2 linked regions of the Arabidopsis thaliana genome follow. Each later gene encodes a partner of the first gene's protein in a complex. Each region holds a gene or a part of one and is shown in the gene's direction. Other genes may lie near its edges.

The links.
Region 2: the proteins of AL2 (region 1) and DRIP1 are in contact, whole or in part, in a crystal structure (PDB 5Y53), measured with the Arabidopsis thaliana proteins. Residues at the interface, in NP_187729.1 of Arabidopsis thaliana: Pro64 (codon at 4,760), Ala65 (codon at 4,763), Glu66 (codon at 4,766), Glu67 (codon at 4,769), Val68 (codon at 4,772), Pro69 (codon at 4,775), Pro70 (codon at 4,778), Glu71 (codon at 4,781), Glu74 (codon at 4,790), Leu77 (codon at 4,799); in NP_172162.3 of Arabidopsis thaliana: Thr279 (codon at 5,483), Gln280 (codon at 5,486), Arg281 (codon at 5,489), Lys282 (codon at 5,492), Arg283 (codon at 5,495).

Annotation. Positions count from the first base shown.
Region 1 is NC_003074.8:3,506,925-3,514,804, reverse strand, and holds AL2 (alfin-like 2), read left to right. Parts: upstream 1-4,146; 5' UTR 4,147-4,386; coding exon 4,387-4,486; exon of another isoform or gene 4,487-4,587; coding exon 4,588-4,620; coding exon of another isoform or gene 4,621-4,703; coding exon 4,704-4,926; intron 4,927-5,954; coding exon 5,955-6,078; intron 6,079-6,157; coding exon 6,158-6,418; 3' UTR 6,419-6,809; downstream 6,810-7,880. Other genes in the region: ELO1 (Paxneb protein-like protein), read left to right, coding at 1-31, 198-357, 438-529, 814-975; AT3G11210 (SGNH hydrolase-type esterase superfamily protein), read left to right, coding at 1,906-2,016, 2,256-2,333, 2,785-2,925, 3,029-3,105, 3,197-3,346, 3,491-3,704.
Region 2 is NC_003070.9:2,077,037-2,085,486, reverse strand, and holds DRIP1 (DREB2A-interacting protein 1), read left to right. Parts: upstream 1-3,389; 5' UTR 3,390-3,779; coding exon 3,780-3,885; exon of another isoform or gene 3,886-4,280; coding exon 4,281-4,380; intron 4,381-4,692; coding exon 4,693-5,017; intron 5,018-5,179; coding exon 5,180-5,610; intron 5,611-5,719; coding exon 5,720-5,770; intron 5,771-5,902; coding exon 5,903-5,975; coding exon of another isoform or gene 5,976-6,085; coding exon 6,086-6,265; 3' UTR 6,266-6,591; downstream 6,592-8,450. Other genes in the region: GAUT6 (galacturonosyltransferase 6), read right to left, coding at 1-262, 408-679, 930-1,000, 1,088-1,169, 1,260-1,301, 1,462-1,496, 1,648-1,798; AT1G06760 (winged-helix DNA-binding transcription factor family protein), read left to right, coding at 7,871-8,071, 8,177-8,450. UniProt on the Arabidopsis thaliana protein: E3 ubiquitin-protein ligase that acts as a negative regulator of the response to water stress. Mediates ubiquitination and subsequent proteasomal degradation of the drought-induced transcriptional activator DREB2A. Functionally redundant with DRIP2.

The DNA of each region.
Region 1 (7,880 bases):
TTGCTCTCCCCTGTGTGAGTATTCTGAAAAGGTAATTAGGAGAGTTTTCTGGAACTTTTAGCCTATATCAAGTCAACAATGCTTTCTAACGAAAATTCTCTTGACTCTATAGTTAATGATAGCTGAAGCTTGTACCAGTATCACGTCGTTATGTATTATATTGTTGATTTTTTGACATTTTGTTTCTATCAACACAGGAATCAGACATGCTCTCATTCATAAGATTGCTGAAAAGTATGCTTATGGTTTCAAATGCGGTAGCCATTGTTACTTTCCCGCCTTCCCTGCTCTCCCCATCTTCCTCTAAAAGACTGCAGCATATGGCAGATACCTTGCTCTCTATCAAAGCAATCCCAGGTTTGCTTTCCCTGATTTTCTTATTCATAAATAGATTATCATAGTTGTTTCTTGACAAGTATCCTTGCCTTTTTTTCCAGATGGTGACAAGGAATTGGAGAAACTCCTCACTGGCTACAAGGATATAAATGGATTCCTCAACATACACAAGGTTGCTCGTATCAACACACAGGTATTTACAAATTGTGTAATTCTCAATTTATATAGGGATATTATTACCCTGAAACCTGTAAGCAAGAACCCCTTTGTATTTTGCCAAGTCAAAAAAACATATTCAATGGATAAAAGTCTGATGAAATTCAAAATGTCTACTGAACAACTTATCCAGAAATCCCCATCTAATCCATTTTTCTCTCTTTTGATGAGAATGACATGAACTTGCTTAGAAACCGTTGAAAAAATGGATTCACTATGGTCCTAAACCACTGGTTTGATCTGAATTGTTTAATGGAACAGGTGCCTGTAATTCTTGAGGCAAAAACCTTCTCAATGAGCTTGAAGAAGAGAAGATTCTTGGCTCTAGAGTGTCTGAATCAAGCCCCTGTAGACGGGTCCAGTGGAACATCGTATGGCACATCTGGTAGCTGCTCATCCAAATCCGGAGCACTAGATTTTTGAGTTGCTGAGTTAGTCTTTCTTTTCTTCTTCTTAGTTTTTTTTTTTCCCTCTCCATTGAGTTCTCTAAGTTCACTCACTAACCTGAGCAGTTACATTATTATTATAGTCTTTGGTCTTAAAAACAGTTTTGACAGCAATATGTTTTGTTTTTATAATGAAATTTATTTCATTTCTGTATTATATATACTCTTATGAAACTATGACCAATGATAGATGCTAGTTACTAAACGTTCAATGTAATCACTTCAACATGTTCACGTGGTTATTTGTTGAACCATCCATATATATAACATATAAAGAAAGAAGGTGAGACATTGAATGAAGAGTTCAAAAATATGGTTGATCTATATTTGGTGCTCCTTTAATTCAGTGTTCCTTTACTTACCAACCAACGACCATATCATTTGAATTATTGCTCATAAATCTCTCTCTCTACCCAATCTCTTTATTTAGTACCCTATTCTTCTTGACTTTGTTTCTTTCCAAAGCTTATACAAGAGATATTCATTCTTAAACTAAGATTTTCATATATATTGAAAAAGAAAGAAAAGATTTCTCATCATTTTACTTTTTGGTAGAGAGCATTTCAAGTAAAAAATACTTTGAGAAACAAAAAGAGAAAACTAGTATGAGAAACAAATCCTTAAAAAAGGAAATAACAGTAATGCACGTGATGATATAACAAAAGGTTTTGTTTTGTTTGTTTTTTTATTGTTTTTTTCTTCTTTTATTTGTCTGTTATAATAATCAAAAAACAAGAAGAAAAAACGAGACGTTCATGCATTTAATCTCGCACCTTACGACAAAGAGTGAGAGAGAGGATCGCTCAGGTTTGTTCATCTTCACCGGACGATTAGCTTTTGCGGTGGGAGAAAGAACGGCCTGTCTTCAGCTCTGAAACAGAGGAACAGAGAGGTTAGGAAGGAGACAATGGTTGGACCCGCGCGGCCTCAGATCGTTTTGTTTGGATCTTCCATTGTTCAGATGAGCTTTGGCCATGGTGGTTGGGGCGCCATTCTTTCCGAGGTCTACGCTCGTAAGGTATCGTCAGATTCATCAATCTCTCTCTCTCTGTGGCTTCTGGATTCGATATTCATCCTTGGTTAGATTACTAGAGCGTTGATTCTACAAGTAGATCGCTTATTCTAATTACTCTGTATTATTTATTATTTTCCCTAACTATACATTTGTTCATTGAAATTCGTCTTTTGTTTTACGATTGTAAGCGTGTATTATGCGAACCATAATGTTATTTCTCCATTTGGATGTTATGTGTATAGGCCGACATCATTCTGCGAGGATATTATGGATGGAACTCTTCTCGTGCTTTGGAAGTTGTCGACCAAGTGTTCCCCAAGGTACTCTTTCAACTCCCTTTTTTTTTGCTTCTTCTCTCTTTAGACTATTAGTTTCTTCAATACTAGATTATGATAAAGATTCAGCGTTTTATAGGTCTTTATATTAGTCCGTATAGGTTGATGTGTGCTTATCATTTGACCTAGTAAGAATTCTTTGTGAACATTATTTTACTAGTTCAAAATGTACCCCAAAAGGATTACACAAGTGGCTATTTTAGTTGCATAGTCTTTGATTTAGCATACAAGACTCTGCATCTGTTTCAAGGGAGATGTCTCTGTTTAAGCATAATCTGTTTCATCCGAGTTTTCTTGATATCTCAAGCTGTTTTCTCTTACCCATTATAAAAAAAATTTGGTAGAATGAGCTTAACTTTGTAGAAAACCATCATATTCAAAGCTTCTGTTTTCTTCCACTTTGTCGCCTAAAAATTGCAACTTGTTACGGATGCAGGATGCTGCAGTACAACCTTCTCTGGTCATTGTCTATTTTGGAGGAAACGACTCAATGGCGCCTCACTCGTCTGGACTAGGACCTCATGTACCACTTACTGAATATGTTGATAACATGAAGAAGATCGCTCTTCATCTTCAGGTTTATACTTCCTTTATAATTGTTAGATTTATTATTTATCTCCTGTCAGTCACGTTTAAAAGCCATTTCAAGTGCTAATTTCTTCCTCTATTTTCTGTTTCAGAGCCTTTCAGACTTCACCCGAATCATATTTCTTAGTTCTCCTCCAGTGGATGAGGCTAAAGTTCGCCAGAACCAAAGGTAACTTCCCTGAATTTCTTCACTATCTCTCTGTTTCTCCTTATTCTCTCCGGCCTTATTAATATAGATGTGCTTCTTTTTCTCTCACAAGCCCATACTTGAGCGAGGTAATCCGCACAAACGACCTCTGCAAGACTTATTCAGATGCTTGTGTAGAGCTGTGCCAAGAACTCGGCCTAGAAGTAGTTGATCTCTTCTCTACTTTTCAGAAAGCAGATGACTGGAAAACTGTTTGCTTCACGTAAGTATTTTTTGAGTTCTGAAGAAATATAGAGAGACCTTTGATATATATGACTTTCTCAGAGTTTCCAAATGCGATAACCGGGAATGGAGTATCGACGATGTTCATTGAAATGTTTTAACGGTATAGTCTGGTTTGTTACAGAGACGGGATTCATTTGTCAGCACAAGGAAGCAAAATAGTAGCGGGAGAGATACTAAGAGTGGTTAAAGAAGCGGAATGGCATCCATCACTTCACTGGAAATCAATGCCAACAGAATTCGCAGATGACTCTCCTTATGATCTTGTATCAGCAGATGGCAAACAGACAGTAAATTCTTCAGAATGGACTTATTTCTGGGAAGAACAATGGGACTAAACATTTCAACACACACAACAACAACAACAAGACCCTATCTTCACATAATTCACTGTCTTAATGTGATAAAGCTTTGCTTTAGATTGTTTACATTACAAGTGTCTCTGCTATAATCTGATTCAGTTTCGCTCGAAAAACGTTACCATTTTAAAGTTTATACTTATCTAAATCTTAAATCACAGAAACACACCAAGTTTGTGTTCAAGTAATTTCTTTTTTTCTTGTTTACATTTTACAGACATTAACAAATGTCTGAAACTCATCACATAACACTCCTCCAGACAGGGGTTTAGTGTTTTGAAGGTAAAATCACAAAGTAACTAAATTTGGGCCGATAACAAAAAAGTCGCTTAGGAGATTGGACTTATTTGGGCCTAAAACCTAACACTTAAGGGCCCAACTAAAATGCCATTTACCTAAAAAGCGACGCATCTTCGTCTACTACCAAACCTTTTCGCTGACGCAACCAAACTCCCAAAAATAAAAATAAAGTTTTTATTTTCTCTCTCTCTCTTATTTTTCTTCTCCTTCTTGTTCCGTCTGCTTCTCTCCATCTCCTTCCATATCTATTGTTCTCTCTCTCTTCATGCCCGAACGCATCGGGTCTCAAAAACCATTGATACAGACATCGATCCTTGTCAACTAGTACTGATCTATAAATCTTATAAAAATCTGTAGAGATATGGCCGCCGCAGCCGTTTCCTCTAACCCTCGCACCGTTGAAGAGATCTTCAAAGATTATTCCGCTCGTCGTGCCGCTCTTCTTCGTGCTCTCACTAAAGGTCTAAATCCTCTCTCTCTCTCTTTCTCTAAATTTCCCAGATTTCTTCGTAATGCCTTTGGATTCGTCCTTTAACTTGTTCGTTTTTGTGATTTTTTCCAGATGTTGATGATTTTTACTCTCAATGCGATCCGGGTATGAAAGATTTCGACTTTTAGATACCCTTTTATGTGTTTTATTGAGATTTGATTTCAATTTTTGGGTGTTTGTGGTTATAGAAAAGGAGAATTTGTGTTTGTACGGACACCCTAATGAGTCATGGGAAGTGAATCTACCAGCAGAGGAAGTGCCTCCGGAGCTACCTGAGCCTGCTCTTGGTATCAATTTCGCTAGAGATGGTATGCAGAGGAAAGATTGGCTTTCTCTTGTTGCTGTTCACAGTGATTGTTGGTTGCTCTCTGTTTCTTTCTACTTTGGAGCCCGTCTTAATCGCAATGAGAGGTATTTCTCTTTTTCCCAACATTTTGATTCTGCATTCTCATTGTTTTGTGTTTTCTTAAGCCATGTCTCCAACTTTTACTTGATTTCAATGGATTCTGTGTTGTTCTTACATGAAACCCCATAGTTGTTTTCCATCCTGGCTCTTCTCATGTGAAGTAAAAATTGAAACTTTGTGATGATGATGGAGTTCGTTTGGAATGAGATTGTCTTTGAATTTGCGTGAAATGAGTTTTGTTTTGTTTTGTTTTTTTCGCTATTCGTCATTCATATCTATGGAGTATTGTTTGTTGCATGACTTCATCTGTCTAAACTTTTTCTCAGCTCTTTTGGATATTGTAATGGCTAAACTTGAAACTTGATTATCCTCCCTAATTTTAAAAGCCTGGTATTTGCTATTCTATGAAATCTGAAAACGGATATTCTGTGGTCGCATGTGCTGAATTTCACCATTTCATTGTTACATCTGAACACCCATCTTAGTAACTATGGAATCCAAAGAACTTTACTGACAAAGGTTTTGTGAAAGTTAAATTTTGACAAAAAAAATTGCTATTTGATTAGTACTAATGAGATCATTTTACTGTCTGTCTGTCATATATTCTAGAAAACAATGTTATTTTGGTTATTATCTGTTTCATTGTTCTTCAAGAGAGAAGTAGTTGTTGGCATTTAGATAGGTTTCAATTAAAGGTGCAAGAAACTGGACTTTGTTTTCTCAACCAGTAGTTTCACTATACCATTAACAAGTCTCTAAAGTGATCCTCTACCATTTTAGTCCTCTATCTTATTTACACTAGACTAGTAAAAAGCATTTCGTAAGATGCATTTCCAAGGATAGAGAATTTAACCCGACAGAGCTGCAAACAAATAATGCTAGATAAAACATCACAATTGTGTGTTGTACTGATATGAAGATTCTGGTTCGTTTTTCCTCACTTTCGCTTGCTAATCTAGTTCTTAGCTTATCTTAGCTGCCTTTTTCAATGTGTTGTCCACTCATGGAGTTATATTATTCTTTTGATTTGCAGGAAGCGGTTATTCAGTCTGATCAACGATCTCCCAACTCTCTTCGATGTAGTGACTGGTAGGAAAGCCATGAAAGACAACAAGCCAAGCTCGGACTCAGGAAGCAAATCCAGAAATGGCACTAAGGTACACAAAATAAGGAGCCTCCTTTCTTCTTTTTTGTTATCTGGTTTCCCTCTTTGAAATCAAAAATCGTAATTAGCAGAGATCAATAGACGGGCAGACAAAGAGCTCAACACCGAAACTAATGGAAGAGAGCTATGAGGAGGAGGAAGAAGAAGACGAGCATGGAGACACTCTCTGTGGAAGCTGTGGAGGTCATTACACAAATGAGGAGTTCTGGATTTGCTGTGATGTTTGTGAACGTTGGTACCATGGAAAATGCGTCAAGATAACTCCGGCTAAAGCAGAGAGCATCAAGCAGTATAAATGCCCGCCTTGCTGTGCAAAGAAAGGAAGACAGTGATGCTGATCAATTGATGATGATGATGATGATGATCTCTCAGAGAGACTCTGGTTCTCATGTTTTAATCAATATGTTAATCAACTTTTTTTCTTTTCTTCTCTTTTTTTCTTTAACCTTCTTAATTTTAAAGCATACAAAACTCTCTCTTTAGATCTCAAGAAAGGGATTTCAAGAAGTTGAGGGAGAGAGTAGCAAACTGTTTGAATAATATTATTATTATTCATATTAAAAAAAAAAAAACTGGGTTGTGTCATCAATTGTGTTGTGTCATGGGGTTTGTATATGTTAGACTTAGTCAAATCTTTAAGCTTCGAACCGAATTTTGAACAAATATGTTTTTAATCTTCTGTTAGGTCTTTTATCTGTCTTAAGATATTGTTTTTCATAATTTTAAAGAATATTATTATCCAATATTATGTGATATGTCAAAGTGATAGTCTTCTCATTTGGCCGGAATTGTAAAGAGCCAACATGTTTTCCAAGTTCTAAAGGGCAAGTAAATGTGATCGCAAGCCTTAGAATTGGTAAGTTTTATAATTAACCATCAAGATTGTCACAAATCATCTCTAAATCCAAATCTAAATTTTTCAATCAAATTTGCGACAATAATCAAATATTTTTATTTTTTAAAAAAAAAAATACTATTTATTTAGCATCATACTCAATAAGAAATTCATGAAATGTTAATAGTTGACAATCGACTGAATTTAACTAAATTTTAAACTCATCGACTGAATATTTATTCGACGATAATGATTTGTAGCCTAGTGTTTTGGTTTGTGCTAATTAATGCATGTTGATGATAATAATAATAACAATGATCAATATTCAAAATCAATACAAATCAATTTATAAATGTGATCATGCATGTATGTAATATCAAGAAGGGCGATCCCAAGTAAAGCCAGCATGAAGATCACAAATTCACAATACAAAAATCTTAGTTTTGGGTATTCAAAGTGATATCCGTCCAATCTTCTTCGTAAACGTTACTTACAAGCTCCCCCAAGTCCCCAACTATATATGATAAAGAACTTAAATCGGATCTAACAAGATTCTGTAATACATGGTCAACACGAATTATCCTTTTTATATACATTACTTAATCTAATATGTGTACCATACTACCATCTTTAGATACTAGATATTTATTGCGTTCACATGTCCGTCATTTTGTTTGTCAATACTAATTTTTCTTAAGAAAATTAAATTGTCTAATAGATTAGTTGCTCAATCAATACAGAAAAGACTAGCACCGATAAGCTCCATTATTAATGTTACTAATCATAGAGATAGAGGAGGCATAATTATTGATAGACATGCTTCAACATAAATCACGGATATTGATTTTGCATAATAGAAATACAATAGAACCTAAAAGAACTAATTATAAACATATATAATTCACTACAAGGGTGACTACAAAGTAATTTAACTTAAACAAATGTTTGATAGTTCTCGG
Region 2 (8,450 bases), on another chromosome or scaffold:
TTGCTGGTTAGGCATCTGCCTTTTTTCAGGATCCAGTGAAAAGTATTCTGATGTCAGCCGCATTGAGAGACAGTGAAGCCCTTTTGGGGTGGTCCTTGCTGCAAGCTGCATTAGATACGCTGCTTGATTTTTCTGCGCCTGAACTTGTTCTTCTGTGTTATAATTCATGGCACGGAGTTTGGTAGCGATGGCAGGGCAATTGTTAAAGACACGACTAGCCTTATATAACACATTTTCCATGGGCTTCACCCTGCGGAGAGCGCTGAAAGAAACAATCATGTCAGAGGTTACTAAAATAATATTCTTAAACAGCACGACTTTTGGCACTAAAAGGTTGTAGTTGTAACAGCAAATTTCTGAATGCAATTATGGTATGTTCTCCTTTTGAATCAAGCAGTTGTGCTTACCCCTTTGATAAGTCCTTGTCCTTTGTTGCATCACCAACAGACCGTTCCAGCTCTTTCAGCCGACCTCTCAACTCCTTCACAACTTGAGAGTTACTTCCAGGTGGAGCGAAATTCAGGTAGGCTTTAGCTTGAATAATTTTGTCTCTGATCTCCTTCGTTTTCACATCTGTTGCTCTGTCGGGCTGAACCCTTGTGTTCTTTTCACCCTTAGATAAAGGGGGCTTGAAATCCGTTTTATTAGCAAGTTGGTTGACTGTTGGTAGAATTTGACCCTGACACAAAAAAAACCCAATAAATTGTAATCATGAAACATCTAATAATTTGATGGAAAGTGAAACTTGGCTTTTCTATTCCTTAGATAAACTAATCAACATGGACCGCAATGACTTGTAATCTGATTCTAGGATTCAATATCGGAGTTATTCCATACCCTGAGCAATCATCAAGTTCATGTTACTTTATATCAGCTGGACTGATCAAGTTCATGTTATCTTCAAATCAGTTGTATTTATATATACACACCTTTTCATCAGAGCTAACTGTCATCTTCTGTGAAACAATCACTTGTTCTTCCCTGTTTTTGTAAGTATTACCTACAACCCATGATTACGACAGATAAAAAATCTGAGGAGTTAATGACATCAGAGCAAATCAAAGCAAGATTGAAAATATGATCCCACCACCATCACTTTCAGCAGACGAATTAAACTCCCCATCCTTGAAGAGAATGAGCCTTGGCCCCTTCAAGCCTTCTCCATCCTCCTAAATCACAGAGAGAAAAAACTTCAACAAAACGCATGGTCAAAAGGTTTTAAGGAGATGACCTAGAGGAACCTGTAACTTCCAACTTACATGTTCAATAGCGCTAAGTCTAAGGTCATTTGTCGTGAATCTCTGCAGAATAATGGTAGCATGTCAACAACAGTGTATTGCTCGAGAAATATAAAGCATAAAGAGAATGATAAAACAAGACTGAGATCTGAAAACTTGGCACAAAATCAACAGCATGCTGAAAACAGATGAATCCAGAGATTGAAGACTAAGGAACACATACAATTTTGGATAACTCTTCAATAAATTCTCTACGACCTGCAAGAAGACAATCGGCAATGGAAAATCAAAACAAATGTCAGATGAAAAAATCCCAAGACCAAGACAACTTCTAACAAAAGCAAGCGAATTTCATGTGAATCAATCTAAAATCAAAGCAATCAAGCATTTCCACACGATCGTCAAGTACAATGAAATGAAAATAAGAAGGAGAGGAGACGAAACTGACCAACGGGAGTGATGCTCTTAAGCCGATTCGATACGAAAATAAGCGGAGCGAATACAGATATCGATAGCAGAGCGAGGATCAAAATCCTCTGCCATCGACGAATTTGTTTCATGAATCTACAAATAAAAAAAAATCCCCAAATCTATCTTCCTCGATGACTATTCTTATCACATCAAACCCTGAATCGTTCTCCAGGAAGAAGTAGCAAGAGACTCACAAATCTCGGAGATATCCTGCTTGATCAACAAGCAAAAGAACGAAACGTGAAGAACTTAGGGTTTCTGGGATTGCTTTTCTCTAGTGGGAGATTCTATTCCTCGCTTGAATTTCTGGATTTGGGGTCGGAGAGAGGAGTTTTAGATTCAGAGCTTCTTCATGCATCATCGGGGGATTGTGCTCACTTATATATATTTAATTAACAGAAATAATCATTGTTTAATTTGTGTTAGGTCTCTATAAAATTAAATTAATGTTATTGGTCGAACGAATTAATTTGTTTATAACTTTATAGTATATAGTTTTTTGGGTGTTCGTGTTGACATGTCAAATGTTATTAGGGTGAAAGGAAGCAGTGATGCGGATCAGGTGCGGGCAGGTGTACATGTGAAGACATGTGATTATGCCGTTGATGAAGCTGTAAGTAATTTAATGTGATCAGTCTTCTTTGCAAATTTTATCAATCACCAGTCAGACGAAGACACGTGGATAAAGTTTTTCCTCCCTCCTCTTAGAAGACAAGAAAGGAACTTCAGTCTCATATCAATGGATGATTAGCCTATTATTATGAAAAAGATATCTAGCATGTCGGCCAAAAAAAATTATGGCATAAATAGAATTGTAACGAAAAATGACTTTTGCCGATTCTGTTCATTATTTTTCAACAAAAATGTTAACTGGTTAACGAAAAATGTTTAACTAAGTCAAATGGGTGTTAACGTTGACTATGGATGCTTTTTTTTTTTTGAGCCAAGTAAGATTACATTTTGGGTTTTTTCTTTATTTAATGAAGTTGTTGGCAATTTGCTTAATTCGCTATTGGAACGACGGGTCTTTTCATTTATTATGTGTAAAATGGTGGAGGTAGATTATGGAGTACATAACACTCGGTTTAATAAATCATGACAGTATCATATAAAGATACTTAATATGCGCAAAGCTTTGAATGATCAAAATCGCTAGCTAGTGTATCATCAAATTGTTGCCGAAAATCTTAACTTTGACGTCGGTTAAAACACTAATCAGCATAGGACACATAAAACTACATACGTACATATGAAAATTTCTCTGTTTTTCCTAATCACCATTCATCTGTATGCTACTAAAAATCGAGGTGTCAATATTGAAAGTTTGAAACCTTATTAGCCTTCATGCTTCGATTAGCGAATGGGTACATAAGCCTTCTACAGGCCCTTTGGAACAAAACCTCTTATCTGATGTTATCTCGTACCCCATTATACGAATGACGAATCGTTACATTTGGTCGTTGATTCGAATGTTCCATATTCATTGATTAATGTAAACGAAATCCATTATTATAGTTATACAAATCATTTTTACCATCATCTGATTATAATATGAAGAGTTCACCATCATTTACTTTTCAAAATATTAGGATAGCAAATAACAATTTCTCACCCAAAAAGTTGAAAAGAAATTTATGTCGTTCAACTTTTTTTTTTTACAAAACTCTTCTTTCCTAATTAGATTAACCAAAATAAAGAATGTTTGACCTAGTTTTCCTAATTAAAGTAACACAAAGATTTTGACCCAAAAAAAAACGTCTTTGAGCGCTCGTTTTCTTGTCGACGAGAGAGCTCTTAAGACAGAACACAAAGATAAAAAGAGAAACCCTTGTTCCAATAAAATAAAAAGAAGTGACACATCGCGTCTCTTAAATTTTAATAGACGACGACGGCCACTTCTTGTCCGAATCGTACGTCAATTCTTCTTCCATCTCTCTCGCACCATAACATTTATTCTTCAGATCACCAGCGACCGAGCGAAAGAAACGACACTTCTTCGCCGTTTTCGTCCACATGCAGTTTTGGGGATAGCACGTTGTGAGTGATTAAGCCCAACAGATAAAGAGAAAGATGATGATTAAGGTGAAGAAGGAGACGATGAGGGCATGCTTAAGCTGCTCTATCTGCGACAATATCCTCCGTGACGCCACCACTATCTCCGAGTGCCTCCACACATGTCAGTTCCTCTTTTTAACCCACCAAATGTTTCGAAATTCGCTGACATTGGCTTTGATTTCTTCTCAATTTGGATGATTATATTATAGCTCTGTCTTCTTCGTCTCGTCCTATAATCGATACAATTGAAAAGTGGGTCAATGAATAGTTTTTGTTGACCAAAAAGAATATGCAATTTTGACTGCTTCAATCTCTCCTTCTTCGTCTTTCTAGTGATAGTTGATTCAGCATTTTCATGTATAGTTTCCTTGTGGGTTTCAGCTTCTTACTTGTATGCAATTCAATTTGAGTTTTTTCTTATACCAAGTATGAAATTTGCTCACATTTATTATAAGTCATGTTGTTAGTTGCTATCTACTGGAATGGAATAACTTTTTAGATTACTTTCGTACGCAGTTTGTAGGAAATGCATCTATGAGAAGATCACGGAGGATGAGATAGAGACTTGTCCCGTATGCAATATCGACCTCGGTAGCACCCCATTGGAGAAGCTGAGGTAAGCTATTCGTGTTCTGTATTTCAGACTCTACCAGTTCTCATCAAAATATGGTTTAGTTTGGTTAAATTTCTTTGCTCCTTGTTCATCTAATTTGTGGACTCAATCCAATTGCTTTTCTTGTTGGTGAAATGAACTGCTATAACACAATCTCTGGAATCTTGTTCATTTAATACACGTAGCACAATGGTTTTTATGAGAGAGAGACCATTTATAGGATGTTGTAGGAGAATCTAAATAGATCTCTTTTGTACTTTCCTTTTTCTTACTCGTTATTGTACTGATGGGAGCCACTTGTGTGCATGGTTTTAGGCCTGACCACAATTTGCAAGACTTGAGGGCCAAAATCTTTGCTCTAAAACGAAGAAAAGTGAAAGCTCCTGGAATTGTGTCCTTACCAGGAAAGAGGAAGGAGAGATCTATATCTTCTTTGGTTGTGAGCACACCTATGGTGTCAGCACAAGCTGGAACAACGAGAAGAAGAACTAAAGCACCTACAAGAAAAGAGTTACGTAATGGTTCTTTGGCTGAGAGAACTGTGAAGAAGGAAGAATCTTCTGGGGATGAGCTTCTGGAGAGCACAAGCTCACCCGACACTCTTAACAAATTCACTCAGAATAAAAGACAGTCAAAGAAGGTGATCACTGAACTACTCTATTTTCTCGTAATGACTTCATATTTGACATGATTTGGTTACATATTTATTTTTGTTTGGTACACTTCAAAAGTAAATATTCAGTAAAAATATTTGATACTGTTATTGGTCTCACATTCATTTGAGTTATTTTGTTTTTTGCAGTCATGTAAAGAGTCCATCTCCAATAAAGAAAACAAGGATGGTGATGAACCCTGGGATTCCAAAATGGATTGGAAACCTTTGAACTTTCTGGTTGAAGTGGCAAATGGGACAAAGCCCTTGAAGTCTTCTGCTTCTCAAGGGTCAGGTTCAAAATCTGAGCACGCGAATGTATCTCGCAATCAATTTCAAGGGAGTAAAACCAAAACTAAGAATAAAAAGAGAAAATGTAAACGTGAGGATGACAAGAGTAATAATGGTGATCCTACAACATCAGAAACTGTTACTCCTAAAAGAATGCGTACAACTCAACGCAAAAGGTCTGCCACCACTTTAGGCGATTCAAGGAATTTGCCACAACCAGATGAGTCAAGTGCAAAACAGGAGAGGAGAAATGGTCCCGTTTGGTTCTCACTTGTGGCGTCCAATGATCAGTGAGATTTTTGCTCTCATATCTGAAACTATTTCCTTTCATGATCTTTCTCTCTTTCTTCATTTTGTTTCTCTTCTCTTGGTATATTGACAAGGGCTTACTGGTTACAGGGAAGGAGGAACTTCTTTACCTCAAATTCCAGCAAATTTTTTGAGAATAAGGTAGGTTACAGTTTAGGTATTCTTTGTTTTATATATCCTGTGTTGTCGCTGCATCTTACATAGTCCCTCATTTTTCTGTTATGAGGAATTCTTTTGTTGGGGAAGATAATCCAATGTCTCATTCTGTGATAGGGATGGAAATACAACAGTTTCTTTCATCCAAAAGTACCTCATGAGGAAGCTAGATCTCGAGAGTGAAAATGAGGTAAGGGTCTTTATATGCACTATGGCACGAGAAAGGATAGAACGTTTGAATATAATGGAACTTATATGTTTGGTTGATAAAAAATGGACATACTTATGGTTTATGTTCAGATAGAGATAAAGTGTATGGGAGAAGCGGTGATCCCAACGCTGACGCTTTACAATTTAGTGGATCTATGGCTCCAGAAAAGTTCAAACCACCAACGGTTTGCTGCATTGGTAGGTTCTTCTGCAAAGGATTTTACGATGGTTCTTGTCTATGCTCGGAAGCTACCAGAGTGCAACATGTAAAGGACTTTAAAGACTCATGTTGTTGCAGAAGAAGATTCTGTGGAGACAGGGTAATCTTTTCTTTTCGGTTTATGGAATCTCTCAAAGCATTACAAGAGAGAACATTACTAGAACTACAGGAGCAGTCGAATGTGTTGTGAAATTAGTATTAATATTTTTTTCTATAGACGAAATATACACTCATGAGTCGCTTTTCTGTGCAAGAAAATACAAAATTTGTTTCCCTTTTCTTTCTTCTTCTTCTACTATGTGTCCTCTCTGGACTTGCATGTAACATTGTTGTCACTTTCTAATCAAATGTTGTAGTTTAAGATGTTTTAGATTGATTTATATGCATTTATTTGGGTACTACATCATTTCTATGGAAACTAAGGTTTTCAAGAATTACTGTTCAAGTGTTGACTGTGGATGACGAATGTAGTAGAACTGTGATGACCTATATGGAGGTAGAAAACTACCAAATTAACTACATAAAACTTATCTGACAAAAGACGAATGAAGTTCATTATCACTATTTTGTGTTATCGTGAGTACCACTATGTGGTGACAACCATCATGCTTAATATGAGTAACATATTTATATAACAAATTGTTATGATGTTCAAAAAATGTTACGAGTATGCAATTTAACAGATTCTTTTTAATTCATGCTTTACATATAGCCATGATGCTTAACGATATCCAAAAGAAAACAAAAAAAAATCATTGAAGAGATTGCACCTAGACTAGATTGCCTCTCGGATGACCTTGTACATGTGTTGCTCTTAAGAAACGTAATCTATGCATCATAACTAAAGGAAAGTTATACATGTGTTTTAATATCAATTAAAATTGGTTGATTACATACTTAAACTAGTAAATCACAATCTATGAATAATCCGGACTCTTTTTAACATAGACACATGACACATCAACAAGTAGTGTGCAACATATTCTAGAGGATGGTCATCTTAGGTAGTATTCATTCAAATGATTTTGGATCAAAAAGTAATTGAAATCCCACGTTTATTGGTTCGGTTCACTCCTTGATTAGTCAAGTTTCATATTAACATAATTTTCATCGAAATTCTCTTTAGCATTATTCGAAAAACCAAATATACTGTAATACTAGCAAGAAAAACAATAGTTTTGACATATCTTGCTTCATAACCGAATATCTCATTACAAAATAATCCATTTTTCACGTTTAGATAATCAAACGAACCCTCACAGAATTTTCTACACAATGCAAAAAACAAAAACGAATTTCATCGAGTATATCACGAGTTATGGTCAAATGAATCGAGTCTAAAAGCACAACAAATATGACCAAAGCATCTAATCCACATCCACTAACTTACTCATCCCACCATCTACACTCCTTCTTTCTCTGCCGTCGATAAAATTTGATCCAACGATTAATATTCAAACCTGAGAAAAGAGTAGCGATCCGCGTAGTCATTGTTTTAACCAATCAGAAGCCAGATATGAATTGCCGTCTAATACACATCTAACTATATAAATCGGACGTTTCCAATGATCCTCTTCACAATCCTCATAATCACTTTCGAAATTACATTTACGCTTTCTTGCAATCAAATTTTCCGATCTTAAGTTCAGAAGACGATGTCAGAGGTGGAAATAGAGAACGCTGCTACGATCGAAGGAAACACCGCTGCGGATGCGCCGGTGACGGATGCGGCCGTTGAGAAGAAGCCTGCAGCGAAAGGACGAAAGACGAAGAATGTTAAGGAAGTGAAGGAGAAGAAGACTGTTGCTGCCGCTCCGAAGAAGAGAACTGTTTCATCTCATCCTACTTACGAAGAGGTAAAAATGAGATTCGATTTCGTTTATTCGTGTTTCTTATTAAGCCGGATTCTGATTTTGGAATTTAGAAATTGATTTTTGTGTTCTTTGTTGATGCGATTTCAGATGATTAAGGATGCGATTGTTACGTTGAAAGAGAGAACTGGATCTAGCCAATACGCGATTCAGAAGTTCATCGAGGAGAAGCGTAAGGAGCTTCCTCCAACATTCAGAAAGCTGTTGCTTCTCAATCTGAAGAGACTCGTTGCTTCTGGGAAGCTTGTGAAGGTCAAAGCCTCGTTTAAACTCCCATCGGCGTCGGCTAAAGCATCATCCCCTAAGGCGGCAGCGGAGAAATCTGCTCCTGCGAAGAAGAAACCGGCGACTGTGGCGGTTACCA